7 separate regions of the Mus musculus genome follow, and regions 2, 3, 4, 5, 6 and 7 are each reported to be linked to region 1. The links are microRNA targets in miRTarBase. Many come from high-throughput screens and were not tested one by one. Region 1 holds a microRNA gene; each other region holds the end of a gene's coding sequence.
The links. Region 1 holds the annotated microRNA mmu-miR-5121 (AGCUUGUGAUGAGACAUCUCC, at 2,828-2,848, opposite strand). A microRNA usually pairs through its seed, bases 2 to 8, with sites in the 3' UTR of a target mRNA and lowers its output. Matches are read on the target gene's strand: a 7mer-m8 pairs with bases 2 to 8, a 7mer-A1 pairs with bases 2 to 7 and ends in A, and an 8mer does both.

Region 2: miRTarBase lists Cep97 as a target of mmu-miR-5121. Seed matches in the 3' UTR shown: 7mer-m8 at 814-820.
Region 3: the mRNA of Cdc42ep3 is a reported target of mmu-miR-5121. Seed matches in the 3' UTR shown: 7mer-A1 at 1,224-1,230.
Region 4: the mRNA of Inka2 is a reported target of mmu-miR-5121. Seed matches in the 3' UTR shown: 7mer-A1 at 1,030-1,036.
Region 5: miRTarBase lists Atp2b1 as a target of mmu-miR-5121. Seed matches in the 3' UTR shown: 7mer-A1 at 3,169-3,175.
Region 6: miRTarBase lists 5730455P16Rik as a target of mmu-miR-5121. Seed matches in the 3' UTR shown: 7mer-A1 at 1,704-1,710.
Region 7: miRTarBase lists Tmem234 as a target of mmu-miR-5121. Seed matches in the 3' UTR shown: 7mer-A1 at 3,210-3,216.

The regions. Positions count from the first base shown.
Region 1 is chr7:45,124,098-45,128,174 of GRCm38, forward strand. It overlaps Mir5121 (microRNA 5121), which reads right to left and starts at 2,894; the gene lies at 2,821-2,894. It overlaps Rps11 (ribosomal protein S11), which reads right to left and starts at 292. Exons shown (of 5, transcript NM_013725.4): 1 at 200-292. The coding sequence starts at 214. Rpl13a (ribosomal protein L13A) reads right to left here. Exons shown (of 8, transcript NM_009438.5): 2 at 3,399-3,471; 3 at 3,112-3,177; 4 at 2,894-2,995; 5 at 2,612-2,697; 6 at 2,381-2,440; 7 at 2,018-2,140; 8 at 1,466-1,935. The coding sequence ends at 1,849. Snord35a (small nucleolar RNA, C/D box 35A) reads right to left here and starts at 2,338; the gene lies at 2,250-2,338. It also overlaps Snord34, Snord33 and Snord32a.
Region 2 is chr16:55,901,500-55,905,499 of GRCm38, forward strand. It overlaps Cep97 (centrosomal protein 97), which reads right to left. Exons shown (of 11, transcript NM_028815.4): 11 at 1-4,000. The coding sequence ends at 3,669. Among named protein-coding and RNA genes, the nearest start is that of Nxpe3, 8.2 kb to the left of the region's middle.
Region 3 is chr17:79,331,217-79,335,293 of GRCm38, reverse strand. It overlaps Cdc42ep3 (CDC42 effector protein (Rho GTPase binding) 3), which reads left to right. Exons shown (of 2, transcript NM_026514.3): 2 at 1-1,571. The coding sequence ends at 569. Among named protein-coding and RNA genes, the nearest start is that of Gm17315, 21 kb to the left of the region's middle.
Region 4 is chr3:105,716,757-105,720,833 of GRCm38, forward strand. Inka2 (inka box actin regulator 2) reads left to right here. Exons shown (of 2, transcript NM_175398.4): 2 at 1-4,077. The coding sequence ends at 458. Among named protein-coding and RNA genes, the nearest start is that of Inka2, 14 kb to the left of the region's middle.
Region 5 is chr10:99,022,421-99,026,497 of GRCm38, forward strand. It overlaps Atp2b1 (ATPase, Ca++ transporting, plasma membrane 1), which reads left to right. Exons shown (of 21, transcript NM_026482.2): 21 at 388-3,723. The coding sequence ends at 699. Among named protein-coding and RNA genes, the nearest start is that of Poc1b, 83 kb to the right of the region's middle.
Region 6 is chr11:80,360,188-80,364,264 of GRCm38, reverse strand. 5730455P16Rik (RIKEN cDNA 5730455P16 gene) reads left to right here. Exons shown (of 10, transcript NM_027472.3): 10 at 247-3,773. The coding sequence ends at 453. Among named protein-coding and RNA genes, the nearest start is that of 5730455P16Rik, 16 kb to the left of the region's middle.
Region 7 is chr4:129,606,868-129,610,944 of GRCm38, reverse strand. Tmem234 (transmembrane protein 234) reads right to left here. Exons shown (of 5, transcript NM_029748.3): 4 at 3,766-3,858; 5 at 2,416-3,489. The coding sequence ends at 3,395. It overlaps Dcdc2b (doublecortin domain containing 2b), which reads left to right. Exons shown (of 7, transcript NM_001195730.2): 2 at 1-36; 3 at 468-614; 4 at 690-729; 5 at 1,204-1,330; 6 at 1,760-1,863; 7 at 2,597-3,015. The coding sequence ends at 2,614. Among named protein-coding and RNA genes, the nearest start is that of Dcdc2b, 5.4 kb to the left of the region's middle.

The sequences.
Region 1 (4,077 bases):
ACCCGTTAAGCTCTGAGCTTTAAGAACCAACTCCCGAAGCGCCAGGGACCCCATTACTGCGTAGAGCCCGGATTTCCGAGCCGCCTGAGACGAAGGCATTCGCAGGCATCCTCGCTTCAGCTAATGCGTAAGACAACGAGGACGCCAAGGGATACGCTCCACACCGAAGCGTCGGGGGAAAGCAACTAAACGCTCGAACCTGAATGTCCGCCATCTTCCCGGCCGCCGGAGAAAGGGAGAGGCAGGGCCGCTCCCGGCTTCCTTATTCACCACGCGAGGTCGGGGCGGAAGTGACGCGGGGTTATCCTCACGGAGGTGGGAGGTACTTCCGGCGAGAGCCCGCGTTCCTGGGACTGTCCGTACGCCGCCATGACGGGGGAGGACTAAGGGGCGGGAAGATCCTATCATCTCGCGAGATTTCAGGAGCACGATGTGGAGGAAACGTGCATCATGTGGTACGGCGAGGCTTAGGGCGGAGAAGGCGTGCCGTACGGGTTGGGAAACACGTGCTGGGATTCAGTTTCCAGAGAGAAGCGGCCGTGCAGAGCGGGTCTCAAGAAAGGGGTGAACCGCTTTACAGCAGAGTATCTGCCATACGATGTCAGGAGCAGCCAGCGTCGACCGAATAGTCAACCTTTCTTCCTTTTATTAAAGGCCGACGTCACCAAGGTCGCATGTCCTTTGTTGACAGTATCTCAGGCTGCGCGTCTACCCACACTTTGATGGGTTTATGTCCTGACTACTCGTGGATGAGTGTCTAACCTTAGGTGACCACCCCAGGTAATAGAGGAACCATTTAGCCAGGTGGCAAAAGCTTGTGTCAGTTTCTCGTATTCACCGTTCTAGCCCTGCACAGATGGGCTAGAACAGTATAAAGCATATTTTCAAAATAGATTGACATTTTGAGTGGTGCTGGATCTTTTTAACCCCAGCACTCACGGAGGCATAAGGACTTGGCTTCCAGGTCAGCTAGCTGTAATAAAAACTCTAGTGGTGGTTAACATGGGAAGCATTTTTAAGATTATATGTAAGTACACTGTAGCTGTTCTCAGATACTCCAGAAGAGGGCATCAGATTTCATTATGGATAGTTGTTAGGCACCATTTGGTTGCTGGGATTTGAACTCGGATCCTTCGTAAGAGCAGTCTGTGCTCTTAACCACTGAGCCATCTCGCCAGCCCCCGGAAGGATTTGATGTTTAAAGAACCAGAAGACTCAGGCGTGGTAAATGCCTTTAGTCCCAGCCTTTGTGTCATGGCCTGACCTCCTACAGTCCAGGTACCAGCTCTTGTATCTTGGTGCTGACTTACAGTAACACCATCTAGGACAGGACCCAAGATGTATATCTGCAACTTTTGAGCAACAAAGCCTATCCCGTGAGCAAGGATTCACCCAAAGGGGCCCCCCATGCAGATGACCTGCTGGTGCCCTCTGCCCCTCTCTGCACAGCACACATCGTACACACTTAAGTCAAATAATTTATTAGCACATAAAATCCTCCAGAAAAATACTGCTTTGTGGTCTGCTGGGAAGGAGCAAGGCAGTGCTCCAAGTGTGCACTTGTGAACCCCAGCTCATGTGCAGATCTCATTTTCATAGCTGCAGAATAGGGTACTTGGTCAGGTGGGTGGGGCAGCCCTGCTACTCATTTTCAACACTGAAGCTCAACTGATTCATCCCATGGTTTGCACTTTAATAAAAACTCATGCAGGTGGTGCGCTGTCAGCTCTCTAATGTCCCCTCTACCCACAGGAGCAGTGCCTAAGGAACCTTTGGTCCCCACTTCCCTAGTTGGCGGCGGAGGAAGGGCAGGCCAGGCAGGCATGAGGCAAACAGTCTTTATTGGGTTCACACCAGGAGTCCGTTGGTCTTGAGGACCTCTGTGAACTTGCAGATTTTCTTCTCCACATTCTTTTCTGCCTGTTTCCGTAACCTCTGTGGTGTGAAAAGACACATGTCAGAGCGGTTGCTTCTCACCTGCGCCCCCCTAATCCTGGATCTCAGTGTCCGTCCTCACCAAGATCTGCTTCTTCTTCCGATAGTGCATCTTGGCCTTTTCCTTCCGTTTCTCCTCCAGAGTGGCTGTCACTGCCTGGTACTTCCACCCGACCTCATGCGCCAGACGCCCCAGGTAAGCAAACTGCAGAGGCACAAGGCTGTAAGGACATGGAATGTGCCCCAGCAGCACAAGGGTGAGCCGGAGGGCCTAGGGACCCTATTTCAAGGACTCATCCCCAGCACGGGAGCCCTCCTGGCATCAGCTTAGCCTTTGGCATTATCGGCACTGCCCTAACTGTGGCATCCGAAGACCATCGTGAGAATAAGAACATCATGTGCCAGTCTTGAGGCTCACAAGCCTAACCTGTAACCTAGAGCTTACCTTTCTGGTAGGCTTCAGCCGAACAACCTTGAGAGCAGCAGGGACCACCATCCGCTTTTTCTGTTGAGAGAAAGAGATGCTCAGAGACCTGTTGGGAACACCTAGCAAGAAGGCCAGCAGGGTAGGCGTCTCAGCCAGTGGGGTTTTCATGAGGCTCAAACAATGTAGGTAATAGCAGAACATCACAGACGCTGGACGCAGAGGCTGTAAGGCTAGGCTTGCAAGGCTCACCTTGTCATAGGGTGGAGGGATCCCATCCAACACCTTGAGGCGCTCCAGGGCAGCCTGGCCTCTCTTGGTCTTGTGGGGCAGCATGCCTGTGGGGGTAACAGCGGGCCTCATCAGAGGTGCTGAGAACCCCGTCTGACCCCAGGGCAAGGGCTAGAACAGCCTCAGATGGTAGTGCATGTAGAGTCATCTCATAGTCGAGCAACTCGAACATGAGTGGGAGATGTCTCATCACAAGCTGCCAGAGCCTACCCTGTCCTACATGTCACCACATCACCAACTCACCTCGCACAGTGCGCCAGAAAATGCGGCTGGGGGCTCGGAAGTGGTAGGGGCCTCGGGAGGGGTTGGTATTCATCCGCTTCCGGAGAAAGGCCAGATACTTTACTGTCAGGACAAAAGTATGTGAGGCACCCTTGGACCCAAGAGCAGAGCAGATAGCCTGCTTGTCCAGGAGCAAGGCAACAGCCCGCCTGAAGACCACTGCCCCAGCCCTAACTCACACTTGTTTCTGTAGAAGTTTCCAGAAATGTTGATGCCTTCACAGCGTACGACCACCACCTTCCGGCCTAGAGTTAACAGGGAGTTGGAGATTAGTCAGCAAAGCCTCTTGGAAGGCAGATCTCTTGCTCCAAAAGTATTTTTAGGCCAGGGGTCCCAAGAAAGCAGGGGCTGGCGAGTCTCAGAGCGGTGCATGGGTTGATCTCACAGTCGTGAGACTCAAACGAAAGATGGTGAGTGTTGCTCATCATGGACTCCCAGGCAAAGGTAAATGGTGAATGAAACTTACCCAGAAGTACCTGCTTGGCCACAATGGCCGCCAGGCGGCCAAGAAGATGGCCTCGGCCATCCAATACCAGAACCTGTGGAAACAAGAATGCTTAGGAAACAGTTTGGCTTCCCCTATTCCAGGTTAGCAACCCGTCAGGATGCCTACTACCCAGATGAAGCAAGTGTCCCAAAGGGCCACTATAGTACTAACAAAGCCTCAGCAGGCATAGGATTCCTATTGTGTATATAAGTTGATTTTTTAAAATGGAACTTCATTTAACCCTTCCAGGCCTCAAATCCCAGGATAGCTGGGATCCAGTGGCACACCGTTCACTCCAAAATTGACCAGACCTGCTTTCAGACTTTAGCCTGTTGTAACTTTTCATCGGATCCTCAGATGCTCAAGCAGAACCTTTCTTATATGCACTCAAAAGAACCCGATTTAGCTAAGCACACATCGTCCTGTGATTCTGAGCAGTGCAGACTGGATTACAAAGCTAAATCCCGTCTCAGGCATGGAGGCACATGTCTGCATCCCAACCCAAACTACAGAAGAAGCCCATTCCACAGCCACCCTGTTTATTGCTGTTACTGGAGGGTCTCCGGAACTTCCCAAGTTCTTTTTAAAGGGCAAAACTGTCCCAAACAGCACCATTTACTTCCTGAGCAGCAACCTGTCAAGGAATCTAAAGTCAGGA
Region 2 (4,000 bases), not on the chromosome of region 1:
AGATTAGCTGTCATCAAATAAATGATTAAGATACAGTGATTCTTTCCTAAAATTTTAACTTTACTATTGCTGTTGGTGGCCCAGGTTAGCCTGAATCTCACTATGTAGCTGAAGGTGGCCCTGAACTCTCAGATCCTCCTGCCTCGGCATCCCAAGTGCTGTGATTACAAGTGTGTATCGCTGCTGGGCTGTGATGCTGCATGCCTTTAATTCGAGCACTCGTTAGGCAAAGGCAGGAGGATCTCTGAGTTAGAGGCTAGCCTGGTCTACAGAGCCACGTCTCAAAAAACAAAAAACAAACAAAAAAACGAAGTGTGCACTGCCATTTCCGGCTGCTATTATTGCTTCATACAAACAACTTTAAGAAAGTCCCATTTGGTTTTTTTGGAGAACATTCATTCAAGGTTCTGAAAGATTTAGCTGTTTGCTACAACTCTGCCATTAAAGGGCCTCTCTTAAAAGCTGTTTTTCCTGTTTAAAATGCAGCAACTTACTCATTCCTGTAAAGATGGACAGAGAAGGTTATGGAAAGCTTGAAATACACGAACATGTTTCCAGTTTACTGCTGGCTACCGCAACCTTACACAGGCTGGTTATCATCCCTGGGTTGCTGTTTCCTCTGCACAATGAAACAGTCAGTCGCTGCCATAAGGCCAGCATCTCTTTTACATTGTACAATAATAATAGCGATAATAATAACAACAATAGTAATGGCAACAGATAATCTCAAGATTCCTTCTGATTTTCACAGGGTATGACGAGTTTTTTTTTTTTTTTTTTTTTTTTTTTTTTGCGGGGGGGTGGTGGTAGGAGGCTTGTGGGCGTTTTGTTTGGTTTCGTTTCGTTTTTTGAAACAGGGTTTCTCTGTGTAGACCAGGCTGGTCTCAAACTCAGAGATCTGCCTGTATCTGCCTCGTCGCACAGGCTGAGACTAAAGGCATGTGCCAGTCTTGCCTGCCTATGTGGTACAAGTTTATGCCTCTGCAGTAACTCGAAGTGACAAGTCCTCCATAATGCGAGAATGTATCTGAGCCAAAGCAGCACAGCTGAACAAAAATCTCTTATCAAAAAAAGCCAAGTTCAAAGTTCAACTCCCCAGACTCCCTAGTCTGTTCCCTTCCCAGCCAGACTAATAAATAATCCAGAGTCACATAAATTACTATCCCTTAGTTACCTTTAAATTCTATAAACCAATAAAAATACGTTAGGTCTCTGTCTTAGTTTTCCTACATTCTGGCATATTGCATTTTCACCTATAGTCAAGATTCTCTGCAGCTCGAAGCAGGCGACTTCACATTCCCATACTTCTAAACTGAGATAAAATAAGAGAGAGGTAGAGCAGAATATGAGCAATTAGCATATTCTGCCAAGTTTTTCACAAAAAAAATATGTTGAATGCCATTTTCAGACTAGAAAACCAGACAAAAGAACAATAAGTTCTGCTGACAGTGTCTATCAGATGAAATGGCTAGATCTGACTAGATTCCATGACTTAAGAAAAGGAAAAAGCAACTACCAGAACGGCGCTCTGGGACGCTCAACCGTAGCGCTGGAGCCACTTTTCTGAAATTAATGTGCCGTGAAACAGTTTTGGTGCTACCTCAGTGAGATGTTTTTCTTTACCTGTGGGCAGCAAATGAGGCACTTAACTGTAAAAATAGAAAAATAAGAAAAATTCTTATTGCCTATTGAAAAAGGAATAAAAAAGGTAGGGTTGAGGGACGGTTTACAAACACCTGTCAGCTCCAGGTTCAAGGGAGCTGACACCCACCTCTGGCTTCCTCCAGCAGGCACACACACATACATAAATACTCTCCCTTGCACATATACACACACAAATTCTCACACACAAACACACACACTCTCTCTTTCACACACACAAGCTCTCACATACACATACAAGTTCTCACACATACACAGCACACACATATATACTCTCTCACACATACACACATATTCTCATACACTCAGACAGACACTATCACACACACAAACACACGCATACAAATTAAGTATTTTAAAAGAAATGCAAAATTATAAAAGGTAATTATTATTCAGAGTTAACTTTTCAGTTTTAATCAATCAAGCATTCAATAGTACACATCTATACTAGAGGAAATAGTTTGAACTCAAGACTTGTTCTGTTTATAAAACCCAGAAAACATGTCCTTGTCAAAGGACTCTGGATTTCTGAGAATGAAATGCAAGCCTTCTCAACCTGAGTACTATGTGTTTATGAATTCAGCTCGCCATAAGGTAGAGCTGTTCCTCTCAGCAAGTACCACATGGTCCTCAACTCTATTCTGGAAGGACCAGAACTTTTGTTTTTATATACTTTCAATTAAAGGGCTCTAATGGCTTTAATAGAATAATGGATGATATTAGCACCTACTTTTAACCAGGTTGTCCTTGAACTCATGGGAGCTGCCTGTTTCTGCTTCCCAAGCACTGGGATTAAAGGCATGCGCCACCAAGCCCAGCTGGATTTATCTTTTCTTAGTCACCAGTACATTGTCCTTCGAATATGGCACTTTTCAGAGATTAGATAAAAAAAATTCTTCAGGAAAAAAACAACATTTGCAGTCTATCAGGATTTTAAACGTTCTTCACTAAGGGACAAAGGTCACGAGTGAAATAAGGACTGAGACACAGCTCCATGGGGCATGCACAGGGCTGTAACTCCTGTGGTCCACAGACACACACACACACACTGTGAAGTGTAGCTTTGGCTCTTCTGGTGAAGTATATATAGAAATAAAAGCAAGACCATAATGATGAATACATATTGATTTCTTACGATCTACTTCTTCCCCAAAGTATTGGCACATAAATGTCAACAGCCTAAAAGAGTACATAATGAAAAGAGGCATTTGAACAGCATGGTTCCAAGTGACTAACTCTATGTCTCCTTTCTCCATAGCAAAGAGAAAGATACTTGCCCGAGCAAGCTTGATTTTAATCCTGATGGAATACCTTACTTCAAAACTGATCCACAAATTAGCTAATGTTTGTCATGAGGCAATTTAATCACCCACTTAAAAGTCTTACGATCTGGGAGTTAGGTGAGCAGCTCAATGGCCGGGCACATGCTGACCATTCTCCAGGCTCAGACTTTTAAATGCCAGCACGCACACATAAGGCACGCGCGCGCACACACACACACACACACACACACACACACACACACTAAACCTTATTCTCCCTAAGTGTTCTTATACAAGAAGGCTTTCCTTAACACAAAGGGTGGAAAGCCACAGTTTTAGGCCAAGGAGACTGCCTGGGAAATTTCACTTTTCCATAGTCCTCACCCTAGCCGTGCCTTACATATTCCATCCCTTACCATGTGACTAACAAGAGCCAAGTTCTCCTACTTAAATCACCAAAACTACTGCAAGGAACTGTTCCTGAAAGGCAGTACGGATGTAAAGGAAACATTATTGGTGTAATTATTAAGAAATAAAGTGCATATGCCTTTTAATATCAATATTGTTTAGTACAGTAGTACAATGAAAATGAAGACGTAGTTCAGTAGCTAATATCTAAAAAGTGTGGGACAAGGAAACAAGTTGTATATAAATAATAACAAAATGGGGGAAAGGGTTGCTCCCCTGCAAAAGAGACACTTGAAAACATAAGAAAATCGAATTGAATTTCTGCTCCCCAGTAAATCAGACAGGCTGCACAGTGACACCCACATGCAACCCCTGAAAGGCAGGGTCACACTCCGGAGGCTGCCCTTGGGCTTCTTCGTTTAACTGACAATTCTCTGGCGTCTGGCTAATTTCATCCTGTGAAGTAGAGGCCACTCTATGAGTCTCACTGTCAGAGGAGGCGTCAAACCTTTCCGGAGAACAAGCGAGGTGACGCTTACCGTCTCCTGCCACATCGTCAGAATCGGCCGCCTCTGCGGCATCGTCCAGCTGCTGGACGGAGGTTAAATACTGTTGGAGCAGAGTGTTGTCCTGCTCACTGGCTGAGCTCTCCCTACTGCAGTCACTGT
Region 3 (4,077 bases), not on the chromosome of region 1:
TGCCGGGAAACCAAGAGAAGGCACACTCTGGCCAGTTCCCGGGGCATAACGACTTCTTCCGGGCCAACAGCACCTCGGACTCAATGTTCACAGAAACACCCTCCCCGGTGCTCAAAAATGCCATCTCCCTCCCCACCATTGGGGGATCCCAGGCTCTGATGCTGCCCTTATTGTCCCCAGTGACATTTCATTCCAAACAGGAGTCCTTTGGGCGTCCTAAGTTGCCAAGGCTCAGCTGTGAGCCTGTCATGGAAGAGAAAGTTCAGGAGCAAAGTAGTCTGTTAGAGAATGGGGCAGTCCACCAGGGAGACACCTCGTGGGGCTCCAGTGGTTCCGGGTCTCAGTCCAGCCAGGGCCGCGACAGCCACTCCTCCAGCCTGTCGGAACAGTCCTCCGACTGGCCCGCGGACGACATGTTTGAGCATCCTGCCTCCTGTGAGCTTGTGAAGTCAAAGACTAAATCAGAAGAGTCCTTCTCTGACCTGACCGGCTCCCTGCTCTCCCTGCAGTTGGATCTTGGGCCTTCACTTTTGGATGAAGTCCTGAATGTCATGGATAAAAATAAGTAGCCAGGAGTCAGCTCTTTTTCTTGGGAGTAAGAGGTACCAAAATAAGCAGAAAACAAAAAAATCAACTAACCACAGCTGATGGAAAGAGCTGCTCTGACTGTTTTTATTTGCAGCCATGTGATGCATTTTCTAAAATAACGCTCCTGTTCCTACAAAATATTTTTTTAACCATCATGCCCTGTTTGCAAAAATTTTGAAAACAATAATTTTTAAAAATTAAAAAAAACAAAACAAAACAAAAAAACCTGTTCTGGCAAAAAAGAAAAAAAAAGAAAAGAAAAAGGAGGAAGTGAGTCAGAGCTCATTTTCAACAGGCATTGCTGATGCTCATACATGCTCAGTTTTGTTTGTAGACATGCAGAAATCCAGGCTGTCTAAGAGGGCTGGGTCCATGGGTCTCTCCAAGGCAATTCATTGCATGTTATGAGAAGGAAACTTACTTATTTGGCACCTACGCCTTTTTTTCCTAGCCTTTTTTGTATATTGTATCTTTTGGGTTCACCACAGCGAAGTCTCCAGCGTTATGATTTTACTCTTTGCATATTCGAGCAACCTTACAGGATTTGGGATTTTTTTTCCTTGTGGTTTTTATATATCCCTGTATATTATTTCCATGTTGCAAAAGTTTGACTGTCAGCTACATGTTGGTTAAAAACAAGCAAGGTATTACTGTAACTAAGTTATTTTTAAAGTTGAAATATATTTTTATGTGCCTTTGGCTTTTTATTGCAAAGTCTACATTTTATACATAATACATCAAGTGTTATTTGTCGTGTTTCCATTCGGGCTTCCTTGCAAGCTACGCGTGTGTATTTGAAAACAAAACCAGCCCAACCCTATGCGTTATCAGCCTGACCCTGTTGCTCGGGTGTTACCTCCTCCCAGTAGGAGGCACAGGGTGATGCTTCTGTGGAGACTGGAGGTGAGGTAGGTATTTAAGGACAGCTCATGTTCACATTACTTGGGTACATCATACCACGCAATAAAGAGTAAATGCTAAAATGAACGTGTTCATTTATAGTCATAAACAAGAACCGAAAAGATTTTAAGACCATCTAGTAAAAGTCCTAAAATGTACCCACACCTTTAACATAAGCCAAGAGATGACTGCAGTCTTGACTTTTTTACAAGTTTGGTTCTAGAAATAGGAACACTTAAGAGAAATGAACATGGGCAATCATTGTGTTATTGTTGTTGTTGGCTTATACAAACCTGCATGCTGAGAGAGAGAAGAGAGGAAGAGAGTGAGGGGAGGAGATAGAGAGGGAGGGGAGAAGTGGAAAGGGGGGGAGAGATTGAGATTGAGGTGAGAGGATAGAAAGAGAGGTGAGAGGATAGAAAGAGGAGCGAGAGGAGAGAGAAGAAAGAGAAAGAAAAGAGAGAAGAGAAGACAGAGATGGGGGAGGGGAGCTAAGACTATAAGCCTTTGCCACAGGGCCACCAAAGCCCTGTGCATGCCTGTCTTCAAGGTTGGCTACAGCATTTTATCCTGTAAGACAAAGGCTCCCTTGCTGTGTAGGTCCTACAGACACAGAAGCTTCAGAGGACCACTCAAGGGCCCTTCCCCTTTGCAAGATGCCCTGAGGAGATTGGTTAAGGAACCCAGAACAGGAAATTGCACACAGATTCCTGTCTATCTTTAGGCGCCCCTCCTGACTCTGAGCTTTGTTGCCAACAGGGAGTGCCAGCTCCCTCAGCTTGATGTATCCCTAGGGCACCTTCACCAAGGCAGCAGCAGGGACTCTGGCCTGGGGTTTAGAGTTCTTGGACTTCAATCATATAATGCATGGGATAACCTTTGAACGTAGGAAGTGAGATCCACTTTGGGTGGCTAACCAAACAGAGTAAATCGTTTCCCCTAGAGCGTTGAGTCTATTAAGCAACCCCAAGTCCTGCATCTCCACTCTGCTTCTTCCCAGTGTTCCTTTCTGTGGGATCACACTCAGTCATGGGTCAGAAACTTCTTAGACTTTCTAAGGCCAAGTTGCACGAGCTCATTTTTTTGTAGCTGGTGTCAGCCAAACTCTCTTAACACTTTCCCATCTTAATTACTGATCATATTCAGTCTCACTGTACCCTTTGTCTGCTGTATGACTTCCGGGAAAGAGGGAGGGATTTGTCTCCATCTTTTTTGCTGCCTTTCCAGCCATGGTGGAGAACGGCTCTGGTAAAGTCTCATCTTCTGCATCCCTCACATGTCTACCCACTTGACTTTTCCAAACTAAACTCCATATTCTCCAAAATCCATACTCTGTCCGGACCAAACAACTAAAACACAGACACCTTCAAGTACACTTGTAGGTATACTTGACATAGCAAAAAATTCGCTCCTATTATAAGAAAATGGCCTGGTCCAGTCTCTTGAACAGGTGCCCAAGTGGCAGTTAACTTTCTGTCCTACAAAGAGGCACTTTAGACTCTTACCTGCTGAGAGCTGATTTGATGTTCTCAAGCTGTGTCTCCATCCTACTTACATCCTAATTTATCTTCACTTAATTTAAGGAATTTAAGGAAACCCAAATGGACTTCATTTGTAAACTAAAAATGAGTGACAAGCCACCTGTGTGTGACCCACATACCAAAAATATGTCATCATTTGCATAAGTAGTGACCCTTTTAAAGTAGGCAAAGTTTTGTTTTTTGTTTTGTGTGTAGGTAGATGTCTGTTTTCATGGACAGTAAGACCTAACAAACTATATTTTCCATCCAAAAATTACATGCTAAAAATAATATCAGAGTCCTTTGCTCCTCATAATATACAGTCATTAATCTCAGTGGGCCAGCATCACTGTCAACAAGCACATAGAGGACAATTGGTTGAGCAGGAAGGAGAACCAGAAACCCAGGATACAGCCTCAAGCTAGGTCTTTTCACTGAAGGCCACTGCAAATACTGTACATCATGGAATGGTGCTGACCTGGGAGTCTGTGAATTAACTTGATAACTATTTTAGAAAATAAAAAAACCAAAAAAAAAGAGCATATGTTATATTTCTAGTCTTCCCATTAATGCCAAGCTGGGATGACTGAGCCATTTTGCTTTGAGCTTCAGCAACAATAAAGCAGCTCAGGATGCTGCCCTCTTTGCAGTGAGTCTCACTTTGGGAATTTATACTGGCAACCTAGCCCCAGACAAAACCCTCCGGTTTAGGATTGGCCTCCTAGACTATGAATGGTAAGCAACTAAGGTATATAAATAGACCACTGTGTCCCATGCCCTTGGTGTAAATATAATACAACTGTCCTGTGTCCCCACCCGTACTCTCAGACTAGATCCAGCACAACAAGAGAACATTCTCAATGTCACACCACATGGTGAGCCACCCGAAGACCTCTTTAAGCTGTATGAGACTCAAGAAAGCTGTGTTGCTGAAAAGTAGCCATACATATTAATTCGTGGTGCTGAATAAACAAGATGCTTGCTTTGTAAGCGAGTAAATGGTCACTGCTCAACATACTAACACAGTTGATGGATCCAACGCTGCCCAAAGGGTCACTCATTTTATTCT
Region 4 (4,077 bases), not on the chromosome of region 1:
TGTCACGGGGCAGAAATCGGCAGCCTCTGGTGTTGGGGGACAATGTTTTTGCAGACCTGGTGGGTAACTGGCTAGATTTACCAGAACTGGAAAAGGGCGGGGAAAAGGGTGAGACTGGGGGATCCATTGAACCCAAAGGAGAAAAAGGCCAGTCCAGAGAGCTGGGTCGTAAGTTTGCCCTAACCGCAAACATTTTTAGGAAGTTCTTGCGTAGCGTGCGGCCCGACAGAGACCGGCTGCTCAAGGAGAAGCCTGGCTGGATGACTCCCATGGTCTCTGAGTCACGAGCAGGACGCTCGAAGAAAGTCAAGAAGAGGAGCCTTTCTAAGGGCTCAGGACGGTTCCCTTTCTCAAGCACAGGAGAGCCCAGACATATTGAAACCCCCGCCACAAGCAGCCCCAAGGCCTTAGAACCCTCCTGTAGGGGCTTTGACATTAACACAGCTGTTTGGGTCTGAGAGATGCTCACTGAACCTAAAATGCAGACTGGTGAGGGCCCTGGGGGAGAGGGAGGGCAGATGGCATGGTCTTCAGACCAGATGCAAGTTCCCATCCTCAGAAAGAAAGAAAGAGTTCTCAGTCAGGCCTCAGTAGAACCAAGTGGAGAGAGGCTGTCTGTCACAGGTCAGGCTGAGCTGAGTCCCTAGAGAGAATGTGTGTATTTGTGTGTGTGTGTGTGTGTGTGTGTGTGTGTGTGTGTGTGATGGTGGTGGTGGTGGTGGTGTTCTTTGAGGCTGGATGTGACAATAATTGGGAGAGGCAGGAGAGGAGTCCAGGAAGCCTGTGTTACTCCTCCACTACTTCCCAAGACCTCATTTGAACATCCTATATGGAAAGGGGCATTGAGCCCTCAGGTTTCCCAGAGGAACTTCCAATAAAGACCAGTCTCAGGGACCCGCAACCATTTTAATGGTCTGCTTCCTGACAAGGCACTGCTACAGGCAAGGGGTTTTCATTTGTAAAGGGTTGGTATCACAGACCTTACTAGGACCAAGATTTTAGCCCATAGCTGGGTACTGGGGACCCAGAACAAGCAGGTGTGTGTGTGTGTGTGTGTGTGTGTGTGTGTGTGTGTGTGTGTGTGTTGAGGAAGCCTGAGAAGCCCTAGGTCTCCAAAGAGCAGAGGAGAAGCAACGTGCTTTCACGCAGGCACTGTCTCATGAGTCCAAGTAGGCGTGCCCAACCAGCATGGTATTTCATAAAGCAGCAAGCTCTGAGAACACACTCGGCTGCCAGGAGACAAAACAGGGCAGGCCGATCTCATGGTTATAAATGGACCCTAGAGTCACACACGGCCTGGTCCAGCAGTGAGAGCCCATCCTGACCCCTGTTGCCTGCCATAATGCTCCTGCAGGGCAGCAGATGGTTGGGGTGAACCTAGAAATAATACCCATATATTTAGAAAAATTCTTAGTCTACATCTCATAGTCATGCGGTGAGCTGGACACATCTATCCTCATCAACCTGGAAGTCAACAGGGGACCCGCAGGGTGGGGTTGATGCCAGGCACTTTATATAGTGAGCAGGCATGCAAGCCTGGGTCCATAAGGAATCCATCTCAGCCCCCACCCCTTAGCCAGGAGAGAACAAAGTAGGCCCCTGTTCAAGCCCAGCTATCCCGGAGGGTGCCTTAGCTCCTCCCTCACCCCCTCCGGCAGACCTAGCTCAGCTTGATGGGGTGTGACAACTGCAATTAGAGGCAAGCCGCCTGCTGCCCCCAGAGCATTAAGAGCAAATTGGAGAAGAAAAATAACAAGAGAAGCTCTTCTGCCTGCAGTCTAGACTCCCAAGGGACTGAGAGGAGGAAGGGAGAGCTTAGGGGACAGGGATGGGGAGGTAACAGTAAGATTGGGAAGGGTTGCCCACAAGTTCCCATCAAGTTAAATGAGAGATGGCTTTATTTATTTATTTTTAGAGTGGGGATTTTTTAAAAAAATCTGTAGCTTTTTGCTAGGCAATGTACCTATCTCAGAACGATTAATCAATGGGGTCAAAGGGTCCTGGCATGCACGTTGCCCCCATCAAGCTGCTCAAAAAGGAAAGCAGTTCCCAGCTCAAATCTGTGGGCATCAGGCTTATCTACTTTGGCCTGGTGTTTGTCAGCTGAGCTCACTCTTTCTGGTCAAGCATGTCCTTGTCCATCCTGTCTCCGTTGAACTTCTGTCTCTGGTGAAGGAAGATAACGGTAGCTCCCTCTGATGGCCGCTGTGATGTGTGTGAAGAAGGACCATGTGAAAACCCCACACCCTGACTCCTGAAGGGTGGCACACTCAACAGATGATCCAAGAGGACATGGACTTTGATGGCATAGGAAGCCAGGTCACCTCCTCACCATCCATGGACAACTCTCTTGGCTTGTGGACCAGTCATAGTTCACATCATTTAAATCAACTAACATGTGCTGGAACCATGGCTCAGTGGTTAAGAGTACTGACTGTGGTTCCAAAGGTCCCAAGTTCAAACCCCAGCAGCCACTTTTACAGCCATTAAATCAACTAACATGACAGACTCCTTGCTTGTCTGGGCACTGTAATAGAAGGTGAGAACTCAATGATAGGAAAGGAACCAGCTGCTGGCCTCCACATCTACCAAGGCACACAAAGAAATGCAGTGAACAGAGTCAGGGGACCAATACAAAACAACTAGGAAGTAATTTGTGCATCTAAGATAATACATATGTGTCAGGCACCTTTGCCTTTATTTTTCTTATTTCCTTCCTTCCTTCCTTCCTTCCTTCCTTCCTTCCTTCCTTCCTTCCTTCCTTCCTTTCTTTCTACACCTGGGAAATGGTTGCTCATTTTACCCAAATAGGCTCAGAGAAGTTAACTCTTTCAAGGTCACACAGTACAAAGCTGGGATTGAATCAGTTTGTAATTGACTTCCAATCTTACATTCATGCTACCTGGCAAACTGTCTACATTTGCTCCACAGCCAGATCAAGAATAACATTTGTCTTCTGAGATTATTCATGTCTCTTCATGATTGACAAGTGGCATGCTAATTACCCTTTGGAGGAATTTTGCCTGGGTCTCAGAGTGGCTGATATAATGTCCCAACTACTAGGTCATGCTTGGTTGATGAAAGCTTATGGTGACTCAACCTCATATAACTTTTACTTTCCTGTCCATATCCTTGGCTCTTGCTGAGACAGTAATGGAGAGTGTGTCACTGAAGTGAAGAGGTGCATAGAAATGCTCTGGCAGTCATGGGAAGAGATGGTGATAATAGGCAGAGAGAAATTGACAGCTAAATTCTGCCCCTTGGGCTCATTTTATGGTTAATTAGGACAAGTAAATAAGCTGGAAGCTCATTTAATACCCTTCCTGGCATAGAGGCCTGCCCCACAGCTGGCCTAATTCCTTGGCAGGCCTCTAGTTGGCCTAGGTATCTTCTCGGAGATCTACCTGCCTCTCTGCATCCCTGTCTGTGGTCAGCCTGTAGATATTTTCCAACCACAGTATCTACTGGAAGTGCCTCTCCCTGCTGGGCACGGTTGGTAGAGGCGGCCAGATCTCTGTTTCCTCTTTCTTCTCTCCTCTATGCTCTTCTGTAGCCTACCCTCAGGGTGATCTCTAACCCAAACTAATCCCGAGGAACAGACACTTGGCTCAGCTCCACCTACTACCTGGCTCACCTGTTCCCAGAATCTCCATAGAAGAGGGCACTTTCTTTCTCAAGTTACCCTAACATTCTCTGCAGGATAAAATCATGAGTCCAGCCTGTCTGTGGAACTGGGGCCTGTCTGCAGCTTCCCTGCAGAAGTGTCCATTCACTTTGGGTGATCTTCCCGACCAAGATACTTAGGTGTTTTGGCCAGCACCAGTATTTCTATGAATTCCTGATCTGGAGTTGAATAGACAGGAATCAAGACCTAGGCTTTTCACTGTGTGAACCTGAGCATGTGGCCTGACCTGCTGGAAGCTCCTCTGCTCTTGTGTGAAGCAGGAATGCTGTCAGGCACACAGCACAACACACCAGTGGTGGAGAACGCTAATCCCAACACACAAATTCCACAGAAATGGCACTATCCTCGGGTCTCCTGCCTAACCATGGACAAAGCTGAGAATAAACAGTGCT
Region 5 (4,077 bases), not on the chromosome of region 1:
TTTTGAGAAATATGTGCTTTTTTATTTAAATATAATTCAAGTAAGCTTGTGTATGGCTAAGTTCTCATTTTGTTTTGTTTTTGTTTTTGTCTTCTTAGGGAAAAAAAATCCTACAAAATGGCTATTAAATTTGTAGCCAGTAACATTGAGATTTTGTTAGTTTTTCTTTGAACGTGTACCTCTCGATTAGAGTACGTGGTTTCGTTGTTCTGTAGTGTCCTACTAAAATATTCATTTTTTTACAGTGTATTGCAAGTTCCACTGCATTACATGCAAATTCGATTCACTCATACCTAGCTGTTTGTGGATTCAAACTCATAAGTGAACCATTACTGTGGCGAAGTTCCTGGCGTCCTGACATCTCTCTGTGTTTTGTGCTGTTTACAGATCCGAGTGGTGAATGCATTTCGTAGTTCTTTATACGAAGGGTTAGAGAAGCCAGAATCAAGAAGTTCAATCCACAACTTTATGACACACCCTGAGTTTAGGATAGAAGATTCAGAGCCGCACATCCCCCTTATTGATGACACTGATGCTGAAGACGACGCCCCAACAAAACGCAACTCCAGCCCTCCGCCCTCTCCTAACAAAAATAACAATGCTGTTGACAGCGGAATTCACCTTACAATAGAAATGAACAAGTCTGCTACCTCTTCATCCCCAGGAAGCCCACTACATAGTTTGGAAACATCACTCTGATTGTAAGATGAATGGTAACACACTAGCTGCATTGTAAAGAAACAAATCGAAACTGAGTCTTTTCACATATTGTGACGGACAAGATAGTATTCTTGTCTCTGGACTTCAACAGAAGACACACTTGTACGAATGTAGATTTATTTTTTTAAAAAAAACAAAAGCAAAGCTTTCTGCCAGACTGAGGGTGCTTTTTTGGGGTGTGGGAGAAACGAACTGACAGATGAACAGCGGTGACTCGGCAGGAGTGGCCTGTGGGTCGTCAGTGGTACCTAACGTTGTCCTGACTAGCAGAGCTGTGGTTTATCTCAGTTCTTGATGGGAGGGAGGGAGGAGTGACGCTGGGTGAGACAGAGAGCCCTGGATCATTGAGTGAATACTTTAATTTCTGCTGTTGGCTGTTAATAATTTGGATTATTTATGTTTATAAATGATACAGATCTGTTTACAAGGTTTGTAGATACTTTTTTTGTTCTTCATAGACGGGAAGCTTCCTTATAGTAATGCAGAGAAAAATTAGTCCTTCAAATACTGCTGTATTTTCAGGAAAAAAAAGGGGGGGGTGTTTCTATTGAAACTGTACTAAATTTTTGCCTACAATTTATCTTGTTACATATGTAGATAAATTGCTAATACTAATAGCCAAATAGATAACACTAATGCTTTGTTTAAAAAACAAAAAAGAAAAAAGAAAACAAGACAAAAAAAAAAACAACAAAAACCATGAGCAGTGGTGTTCTAATGAAGTTATGGCATCTGTCCTAATTAGTTTCTTAAATACATTTACTACTTAATGGTTTTGAAAGAACTGTTTAATTTTTAAATTTTTTGAAAACTTGCTAATAACCTTTTGTTCAGAATTTAGTAGATTGTTTATTGCGGGACATCAAATACACAATGAAAGATGCTTGAAATGCCTTTGTTATTTCAGGCCAATCAAATTAAACTATCAAAGTACAAGAGAAACCTTTAGTCTTTTTTTTTTTTTGTTTTTGTCTAAATATGTTAGTTCAGTGATGTCTTAGTGAACTGTGAGTGACTGCATTGATTTTTCTAATAACTGCGTAGAGACCTTCACACAGCATAGAGGGGGCTGTTGGCATTTTGAGAAAGGTTAATAGAGAGAGGCATACATCGTTTCCTTTTGTTTTTGAAACTTGTTTGTAAACATAAATAAATATGCCCTTTTATTAAATAAATACACAGCAATGGTTCTTCAGACAGCTCAGCTCCTTGGTTCTCTACGTGTGCCGCATTGGCCTGTCTCCTCTAACCACAACTAGAATAAATTTCAAGCTGGTGGCAGCCTCAGGAAGGGCTGTTTGAATCCTTTCTTGGTCACCCCATGGAGTCGAGCTGAGACAGCAGTTTTGCCACCTAGCACACCCTTCATAGAATCTACTTTTATCTAAAGTAAAGTAGTCTCGCCATTTTATACGAAGTAATGACCACAGTTGTCTGATGTATTTGTTTTTTATTAAGTGTCCCAGTCACAGATTAGATTAAAGGGATGGCGCATGAAGATTTGAGGAAGCGGCTAAACACGATCTCTGTAATAACCAACTCTATGCCGAACTCTATGCTCATCTCTGAGACAATTGAATTTCCAGGCTCTCTGCTTCTTTTCTGTCTACCTTCTTCCTTTGTCTGCCTCTCGTCTTGACCTTTTAGAAAGTGGTATTGTTTCAGGGCGCAGATCTCGCCAGTTAAACAATCCTCAGGCTGACCTAAAGTTTACGAGGACTACTACATCCAAGAATGCTGACCTAGCAAAGAAACATCTAGTTGATGGTGCTTGATATATATATATATTTTTTTTTTGGGCGGGTGGGAGGAATCTTTTTCTCCCCATCAGTTGCCTGCAGTAACTCTCTGCAAGTCTTAGAAACACATCGGCTCTGTCCCATCGATCACTGTACATTTTTACTCATCAGGTGTTTGTAGTTATTCATACTGTAAAAAGAGGTAGCATGATATGCTGGGACGCATATTTAGACCAGGAGCCCAAGGTGGACTCCTCGTCTTGAATTTGCCATTAACGTGCTGCATGATCTTGGGGCAGTGACTCACCCTGACGGAGGGTGGGGGACTCCTCTTGAAGAACCCTTTCAACTCTAAGAATTGACCCTATCCACTGAAGAAGCCTGTGAGGCATAGGGAATAGAGAAAGGGAAATGTTCTCAGCTTTCTTTTTTATTTTGGTTATGCTTAAATATGAATGTAATTACCAAGAGAATGAGACCTGCATGTGCTCTGGAGGGTTTGTGTCTAGCTTTTCCGGTTTTTTTTTTTTTTTTCCAAAACTCAAGGCAATGGCTTTTTACCCCACCTCTAAATCCATAAGTGGGTCTTAGGACATCCGTGAAGTCATAATAGCAAAACACGCTCGGTGTGCGTTTCTCTCTTTGAGACACTGTAATTTCTACCAGAAATGTCCACAGCATTATGTAAGTAGGAAAAAAAAAAAAAAATACAAGCAAGCTGTTAAAGATCTTGGATCCCATTCTATAGTGTGTATACCTAAATCAACATCTGTAATTCACATTTTTCTCTTTTATTCTCTAACCAAAATCAGAAAGAAAAAAAAAACTTGTTTAATTTTGCATCCCAAATGTTTTTAATCTTTGTATATTTTTTAGACTCCCTTTTCTCCCCATCATTGCCTTTCCGTGGTTGTAAATAGTTGTCACACTCTGAGGATGAGTTACGTCTTGTCATCTTACAAATATGTGATATGGTAATTTTCATAACAGATTATCAGTTTTGAACCAAGAAAATGGTGATTTGTTTATAAGAGAAAAAAAAACAAAACAACAAAAAAAACCACCTGGCTTCATTTCTGTGAAATTGCTCTTTGAAACTTTCATTTCCACGTGTAAGCCAACTGGGATACTACCGTGATGGTGTTGATTTCTTTTAATGATGCTTACCATCTCTTTTAGCCACTGAGCCTTTTATTATTTGTCTATTTGTAAAGTTTATTTGTCTTAACTCATTTAATAAATATACTGTTTATCTGTTTCTGAATGGGGACTGAACTTTTTGACCCTTGGGATGATCTGAACACCATATTTTGGCATTCCTTTTTTCCTACCTGAGATTTTTGCTTTTAACCTACGTAATGCAGAGTCTATAAAATACTTGGAATGTTAGGATGGGTACGGGGACTCCGTGTTCTCATGCAGTTGCCTGGTTTCCCCTCTCTAAGGGAAGGGGGTGTAGTACCCCAGCTGCTAGAGTGTCAGCCCTCAGCCACAGCGTCCATTCTGCAGGCCAGGGAGGGCAGCGGTTTAGTTTAGTGTAGAACTTGTTAAGAACACTTTATTAAACAATCTGAACTTTTTAATAGCAATTGTCTTAACTCTGATGGAAAAATAATAG
Region 6 (4,077 bases), not on the chromosome of region 1:
CAATAGGAATAATGGGTATTTTTTTTAAAGTTCAACATTAGCAGGGTGGGTAGTACATAACTTTAATCCCAGCACTCAGGAGACAGAGTTCAAGACCAGCCAGAGCTACATAGTGAGACCCTGTGTCAAGAGACAAAACAAAAGCCGACATTATCAGTGTCCGATGAGTGTTCAGCTAGAGACGGGGTATTTTTCAAGCATCATCATCATGTCACTGAACATACTTACAGGGCAATCTTTTTCTAGGCTATACAAGACACAAACAATTTGAAGAGATTTATCCGACAGGCAGAGATGAATCATTACGCTCTGTTTAAATGTTACATGTTCCTTAAGAACTGTGGCAGTGGAGATATCCTTTTGAAGATTGTTAAAGTGGAACATGAAGAAATGCCCGAGGCCAAAAGTGTGGTGGCTGTCCTTGAAGAATTCATGAGAGAAGCGCTTGTCTGAAGTTCCAGTCCCGTGTTGAGGATCTGTTTCATGGAGTGTATTGAGGCTGCATGTGGGGGCTGTAATTACCATTGTTTATAGGATTGCACTGCCCTAAGATGACTGGAAACACCCCAGCTTCTTCCTTTTGTGCTTTTTTTGTTTAATTTAATTAAACACAACAATCAGAGGAATGTCTTCACCAGGTCCTAGGCAGACGCTGTGTTACAGCTGGGGAATTTTGCTGTCTCATAAATCCTAAGCACGTGCTGCCTAAAGAGCTCTGGAGATGAGTTTTGGCTTCTTGGGAGTTTACCGTAGTGTTTAGCAGGATTTCCTCCTCCAAAAGAAACATAGTATGCCTTTCTCAGTACAATGTAGAAGTTTGTAAAGTACATGATCCTAGCAAGATGTGATGACACATGCCTATAATCCCAGCTACTCAGGAGGTTGAGGCAGGAGGTTGTGAGGTTCCAGGCCAGCCTGAGCTACTGAGTAAGTTTATGTCCAGCTTGGACTACAGGGCAGTCATCACCTTCCTGGTCTTACTGCACCATCAGCTCGCTTCATTGACAGCCTGTTCATCCTCTGAGTGCCTGATACAAACCAATGGGCAGGAATGACGAAGCCACCTTTTGAAGCGAATATACACACGAATTATGAGTGTATAAGCACTTAAAAATGAGCTTTATGTATAGAAACTTGTGGGCTGGCAAGGTGGCTCAGAAGGTAAAGAAACCTGCCACCAAGTCTGACAACCTATGTTCAATCCCCAAACTCACTTGGTAGGAGAGAACCAACTCCACAAGTTGCCTCTGACCCATACAGAGCTACATACTCAATAAATAAATACATGAAGATATGGTGGGCTGGAGAGGCAGCTCAGCAGTTAAGAGCATTGTTGCTCTTGGAGAGGAGCCGGCACCTACCTGGTGGCTCAATTTCAGGGGATTTGACACCCTGTTCTGACCTCCTCAAGCGTCAGGCACACATGTAGTGTATAGATATACATGCAGACAAAACATACACATAAAATAATCTAAAACCAGTAAGAAAGAAAAGAAAGAGGAAGAGAGAGAAGAAAGGGTATACTAGCTTCAAGATGAAACATTCTCTCTGACTAAAAAGCTCTTGTGGCAATTTACACAATAGGTATTTATTTGCCAGGAGCCTGTATTTTTTTCTTCCTTATTTCTAGATAAAAATGCTGGAATTCTTAAGCAGTATTAAGAAAAAGGGAAATAAAACAGTTAATATAGGAAATATCCTTTACAAGCAAATATAAGAATGCACATGTGGTGATTCATGTCTTTGAATGTAACCTTCCACAAGACGTAGGCAGTTGGAACTCCCTGAGTTCAGGGCCAGTCTGATTTACTGAGTTATATAGTAAGCTTCAGGCCAGCCAGAATTACAGAGTGAGTCCCTGTCTCAATAAATAAGAAAATAAACAATATTTTAAAAATTAAAAAATGTAAACAAATTCCTCTCAACACAATTGCTCATTGATTTTAGATCTTTCTGTCTGTCATAAGCCTCAGATCGTTTTGCCCTGAGTCAATTGCAAGAGCCCTTGAGTCGTCATTTCTCATCCCATGGGTGCCAGCTGCAGCCACACGCGTAGCTGTTCTGCATAGCTCTTTAATAAATCCATTTGGTAATGAATTTGGTTTAGAAAATCAGAAGGCTTATGTTCTCACTGCCTTTGGGATGCTCAGAGGAGCATGAGTCTGTGAAACGGAGGCATTCTTAACTGCTTGTAAACCCTGCTAGGAGCTGAGTTCTAACTTTCAAAGAGACTAATGATATGGCTTTCTGCCTTTGCTTCTCCATAAGTCAGTCTAGGGATAGGAGTCACCACGCCCTTCCTTTCCCTTTAATGAGAAATACAATTCAGTATCTTCATAAATGCTTTCATATGGCTTTAAAGTTTAATAGCTTGGATTATAGGCAGTATAGAAAAGAATGTAAGTAGCATTTTTATAGCTATCTGACGGCTGGATAGTCAGCAGCTCTGTGGTACTTTTCTTGAATCTTTTCCCAATGCACTTGGTGCCCACTTGGAAATCATTAAAAATGAGCGACATTAGGACATCGAGATTTTGAGTCTCTAAAATAGTAATCTTTATTTTTAAATTCACAATCAGGAGCAAATAGAATTCTAAAAGTAAGTGTAGGGGTTAGGGAAACAGCTCAGTGTAAAGTACTCGCTATGCAAACGTAAGGACCTCAGTTTGATCCTCGGGACTTAAATACAGAAGCAGGAGTGCTAGCATGTGCTTGTAGTCCCAGCACTGGGGAGGAGACTCAGTTCTTACTGCCAGCCCAGCTGACTTGGTAAGCTTCAGGCCAGCAGAGACCTTATCTGAAAACAAATGGAAAAAAAAAAAAGATAGCTCAATGGATAAAGGCCCTGGCTGGCAAGTCTAGAGCCCATGTGAAGGTGGAGGGAGAGCTCACTCCTGCAAGCTGCTCTCTCTCTCACTCTGTCTATGCATCCTTCAGAGCTAACTATTAACAAACAAGAAAACAGAAGGGTAGATGGCTCCTGAGGATTGTCCTCTGACCTCCAAATGTTTGTGCACACAAATAATAATATATATACCAATAATAAATAAAAGCAAATGCTCTACCAAAAAATAATAAAAATAAACGCAAATGCAGCCAGGCAATGGTGGTGCACACCTTTAACCCCAGCCCTCAGGAGGCAGAGGCAGATGGATCTCTGAGTTCAAAGTCAGCCTGGTCTACAGAATGAGTTACAGAATAGCCAGTTACACAGAGAAACCCTGTCTTGGTAAAAAGAAAACCAAAACAATAATAAAGGAGATGCATTAAGTCACGTGTGGATATAGGAAAAACATAACTCTATATTCTTTGCTTATTTATAGGTACTTCTTTGTAATGTAAGCCCACTACACTACACAATTGTATATAGTAGTCTTATATTTAAAAAGAATCTGCATAGGCAGAGACAGGCGGATTTCTGAGTTCGAGGTCAGCCTGGTCTACAGAGTGAGTTCCAGGACAGCCAGGGCTATACAGAGAAACCCTGTCTCAAAAAAACCAAAACAAAAAAACAAAGAATCTGCAAAATTCTGTACCACTGAAAAAAGATGTCATGGAATTAATTATCTTGTTGATATGAAAAACAGCTCATAACCATAAGCCTATTGTCATATTCAAATTTTAATGTGAATGTATTAAATTTTAAAGGCTTGGGGGATGGAGGAACACCCTCTCAGAACAAAGGGGAGGGGGAATAGGATGAAGAATTCTAAGAGGGGGTGCTGGGAGGGGGGCAACATTTGAAATGTAAATAAATAATTAATTTTAAAATATTAAAGGCTTAAATAGTGTTTGTTCAGATGCGAAGTAAACGAGTGCTTATGTGCAGTACGCAGGAAATATGTTGGCCTTGTGTAAAAATGCCTCTGTGTAACAGTGATAAAACTCCAGGTCAAGGCAGGTAGTTTTACCTAACTGAGCTTAATTCTTACCTTTAATTATTTCCAGTAATTTTACATGGAAATTATACTTCACACACACACAAAGATGTGTGAAAAAAACTCAGATTACCTGTTGGAATGCACACAGAAGAGGTAAACAGGTTTCTCACAATGGTTCATTTGTTGTGTAAAAAAC
Region 7 (4,077 bases), not on the chromosome of region 1:
TGAGAAGGTTACGTTACAGAGTGGGGCTGTACACAAGTGAGTATAGGACAAGGGGCAATGTTACACGGTGGGGCTGTACACAAGTGAACATGGGGGGGGGGCTGTACACAGTGAGCAGGGGGGGCTGTACACAGTGAGCACGGGGTGGGGGGTGAGGGGGGGCTGTACACGAGTATGGAACAAGGGAGAATGCACCCTAAGGAACGCCACTGTGTGTGTCTGCTCCTGGGGAGGGTGTGTGCTGTCCAGCAGGCCTTCCTCCTATGCCCCTGAGGACAGCTATGTCCATGTCAAGTCCCATGACCCAGGACAGCTGCGTTTCCTAACCCAGCCCTTCTAGTCAGGGCAGAGCCTATGTTGACTGTTGCCTGGAGGACCAGACTCAGGTCCTCTGCTGGAGCACAGTGCCTACTGGGTAGGAAGTTGCCTTTCACCCACCAGCTCTTTCTTGTTACCTCTCCTCACAGACTCTGCACCCTCGAGGGGCTTCCACTGTCCACAGGGACTGCTCTGGTGAACGGCCATTACTACGTGGCTGTTGGAGAAGAAGAATTCAAGGCCCTGCCCTATATGGAGCTGCTGGTGCCCAGCCCCTCTCTGTCCAGGGGCTGCTGGTAGGTTTGTCTGAGGTGGAGGATCACAGGAAGTGAGTGCCCTCTGACCCACCTCTAACCTCCCCTTCACTGCAGGTGTCCTCCAGGCCTGAAGTACAAAGCCCACAGGAAGAGGGTAGGTGTCAACCGGAACACCCGCACACCACACCCCATGCACCTGCTCAGCAAGCCTGAAAAGCCAGGATTCCATCCCTCCCCCCTTCCTTGGGGTGGGAACTCAAGTTCTCAAGCCTAGGCAAAAAGGCCTCCTCACGAGGCTGGGTGTTGGAACTGGCTACTGGGCAGAGCAGGGCCCAACCTTCCACTCACGGCCCTGTTCCAGGCCTCTGTTCCTCCAGATGAGCCAGTGCATATGTGGCCCAAGAGTAGAAAGCAGCCTGGTTTCACTGGGCATCTCTGAATGCCAGCGTCAATTCAACTATTTCTGGATAGACAGCCTGGTAGGAATGAAGGCAGGCAGGCTGCAGGCTATGAAGAAGGCACACGGCCTCTCCCAAGCTTGCACAGGCAGCAAGGCACACCGAAGCGTAGACTGGGAAGTGAGAAAGATGAAAACATACGAAGCTCTAACCCAGTGTCCCATCTATAGGTCCAGGGCTACAAGGCCTCAGCAGCCCAGCCTTTTCCAAAGGAGCCAGGGGAAACTGGGCCATCCACTTTCTATGCCAGGCCCCAGCAGCCCTGGAGCAAGCTCCCTGCTCTCTCATCTCCATCAGGTGAGGGGGCCCTGGGGCTGGCCCTTTGCATCAGCACCTGTGCTTACACAAACTAGGAAAGCTCTCACATTAGTCCCCCTCTGACGTGAGAGGATGGGCCTTGCTGCTGCTGGGAGATGTCTGCAGCAGAATGAGTCAGCAGAGCTATGTGCCACCCCTCTACCTGCATGTCCCTTGCTTCTATTTCCGTCTGTATTCACTGTTGTGTGTACACACGCACATGGGCACATGCAGGCCATGGCCATGTAGAGGTCAGAGGACAACTCTGTGGAGTCAGTTCCCTCCTTCCACCGTCACACAGGCAGTCACCCTCCGAGGCGTTGGCGAATGTGGACACAGCTGCGGGGAACCAACTGGTGTAGCAGGTGAAGGCACAGGAGCCTGAGGGCCCTACAGCCTGGGCATCGGCCAATGCTGCCTCTTTATTAGGAGTTACGGGAGTGTATGGGGCTCCATACCCGAGGAAGGAGACGGCTGGGGCTCAGGAAGTGAATGAGGATGAGAACACACGCACAGAGGAGCCTGTGGATCAGGTAAGCCCATCACATGGACACCAGGGAGCCTTAAGATGGGCAGAGATCTGAGCTAAAGTCTGGGCTCCAAGGCTCGTCTTCCTGGTGGCTAAGCAGATCTAAATCTGAAAGCCTGGCTTCCTGTTTCCCTTGTGAGGCGTTCAAATATCCAGTAGTCGCCTTTCCTGGTTGGGGACCTCTGGCAGTCCATGCAAATTGGGCACACACATAGCTCTGTATGTCTCCACACATCCACCAGAGGGCAGCAGAGACAGCAGAAGAGGCCTTGTCTGCGCAACACCAGCCTGGGCCTGAAGCTGTAGCCCCAACCTCCGCCCATGCTCCTCCATCTTAAGAGCTGGGAGCTCCAGATACAAACTGGGGGACAACCACTCCCAGCCACCTCTGTCCCCAGCCCTCAGCAACCTGTTCTGGAGAAGCCATGCCTCCTGGGCTCACAGTAGGTGTGGCCTCCTCAGTCACAGGCCCACAGGCAGGTTCTGTGGAGGCTACCTCCTCATGTGATCCTGCCAGAGACACTGCATACTCAACACAAATAAAACATTTGCTAAGCTTTGTTTGCTGTAGATTTATTGAAAGCTGCTGCTGGCCAGATGTTTGCTGCAGCTAGGTGGTGTCCGGCACACAGCTGTCTACTTGCGGGGCTGACAGTTGAGCATTTTGCCCAGGGCCAGCTTGTTTTTCTTCCATCTGACATTCTGATGTAACTTCTGTCCCCAAATCCCACCTTCAGCCAGCCAAAGCACTGTAATGGAGCTGTGGAGGCTTCTGGCCATTCCTGGTTGAGACTGCAGCCAGCCCTTTCCATGTAATGGAGGCGCTGTGTGAGGATGCTGACAGTCTACAGCAGGTAACGGAGGCTGAGTAACAGCTGCCTGAGGTGGCAGCAGGAAGACAAAGATGGCAGCTGAGGGTGGCTGTACAGTCTCCAGTGCTAAATCCTTTTAATGCTTTTCTTCTTTTTGGTTTTCCAAGACAGGGTTTCTCTGTGTAGCCCTGGCTGTCCTGGAACTTGCTTTGTAGACCAGGCTGACCTCAAACTCACAGAGATCCACCTGCCTCTGCCTCCTGAGTGATTAATGGAGTATACCACCATGCCTGGCTCCAGTGCTAAATCTCAACCGTGGAACCCACTAAAGGTTACAAAACCTTCCCAGTGCTGCCCTTCGTCTTGTTTGTTTGTTTTGGGTTTTTTTTTTTTTTTGGTTTTTCGAGACAGGGTTCTCTGTATAGCCCTGGCTGTCCTGGACTCACTCTGTAGACCAGGCTGGCCTGGAACTCAGAAATCCGCCTGCCTCTGCCTCCCAAGTGCTGGGATTAAAGGCGTGCGCCACCACGCCCGGCTTTGCTTGTTTTTTTGAGGCAGGGTTTCTGTGTAGCCTTGGCACTATGGAGAGTATGTTTCTTATTGTGGCCCCTGAGATAGACATGATCTGAGAGATGAGAGAGGCCAGCTGGCCAATCATTCTGCCTACACCTTGGGCCCAGCATCCACCGAGCACAGCAGAGCTGACGGTCGGGGTTGGCCCACTCAGGAGTGCGACGGTTGGCCCTGGGTCTTGCTCACCGAGCTTGTGATGCACACGGTGATCCCTGTGATGGTGAGCACCATGCCAGCCACTGCTTCTGCGATAAAGAACCCGTCAAGGGGTTGGGGTCAGTGGGGCCAAGGAAGAAGACAAGATGGTGACCCCTGGTCCTGGTTCTCATCCCAGCCCCTGCCCCCAGATTGCTCAGGGAAAGGAGACTGCGGGCCACAAGCAAGCAGGAGAGCTGTGGTAGAACAAAGGGCAACGTGAGGGAAGGCCTCTCCTCACCACCCATGGGAGTCAGAATCGGGAAAATGTTCATGTATGCCAAGGCCCAAGCAACCATGCCCTGACGTGCAGCCACCCAACTTACCTTTCCCACCAATATCTTCTCCAAGGACCTTCCCAACAATCAGTGTAAAGACGATGGCCAGAGAGTTGCAGATGGGCACAGCTAACGTCAGATCTGAGCAATTAGAACAAGAAAAATTCCTAGAATGTCTTTCTCAGGATAAAATATTTGCAGCATGCCCTCTTCCCTCTCCTCTTCATCACAGTTGGTCACCACAAGATAGTCACAGTGACACATTTTTGTTTTGGTTTTGGTTTTTGGTTTTCCAGGGTTTCTCTGTAGCCCTGGCTGTCCTGGAACTCACTCTGTAGACCAGGCTGGCCTCGAACTCAG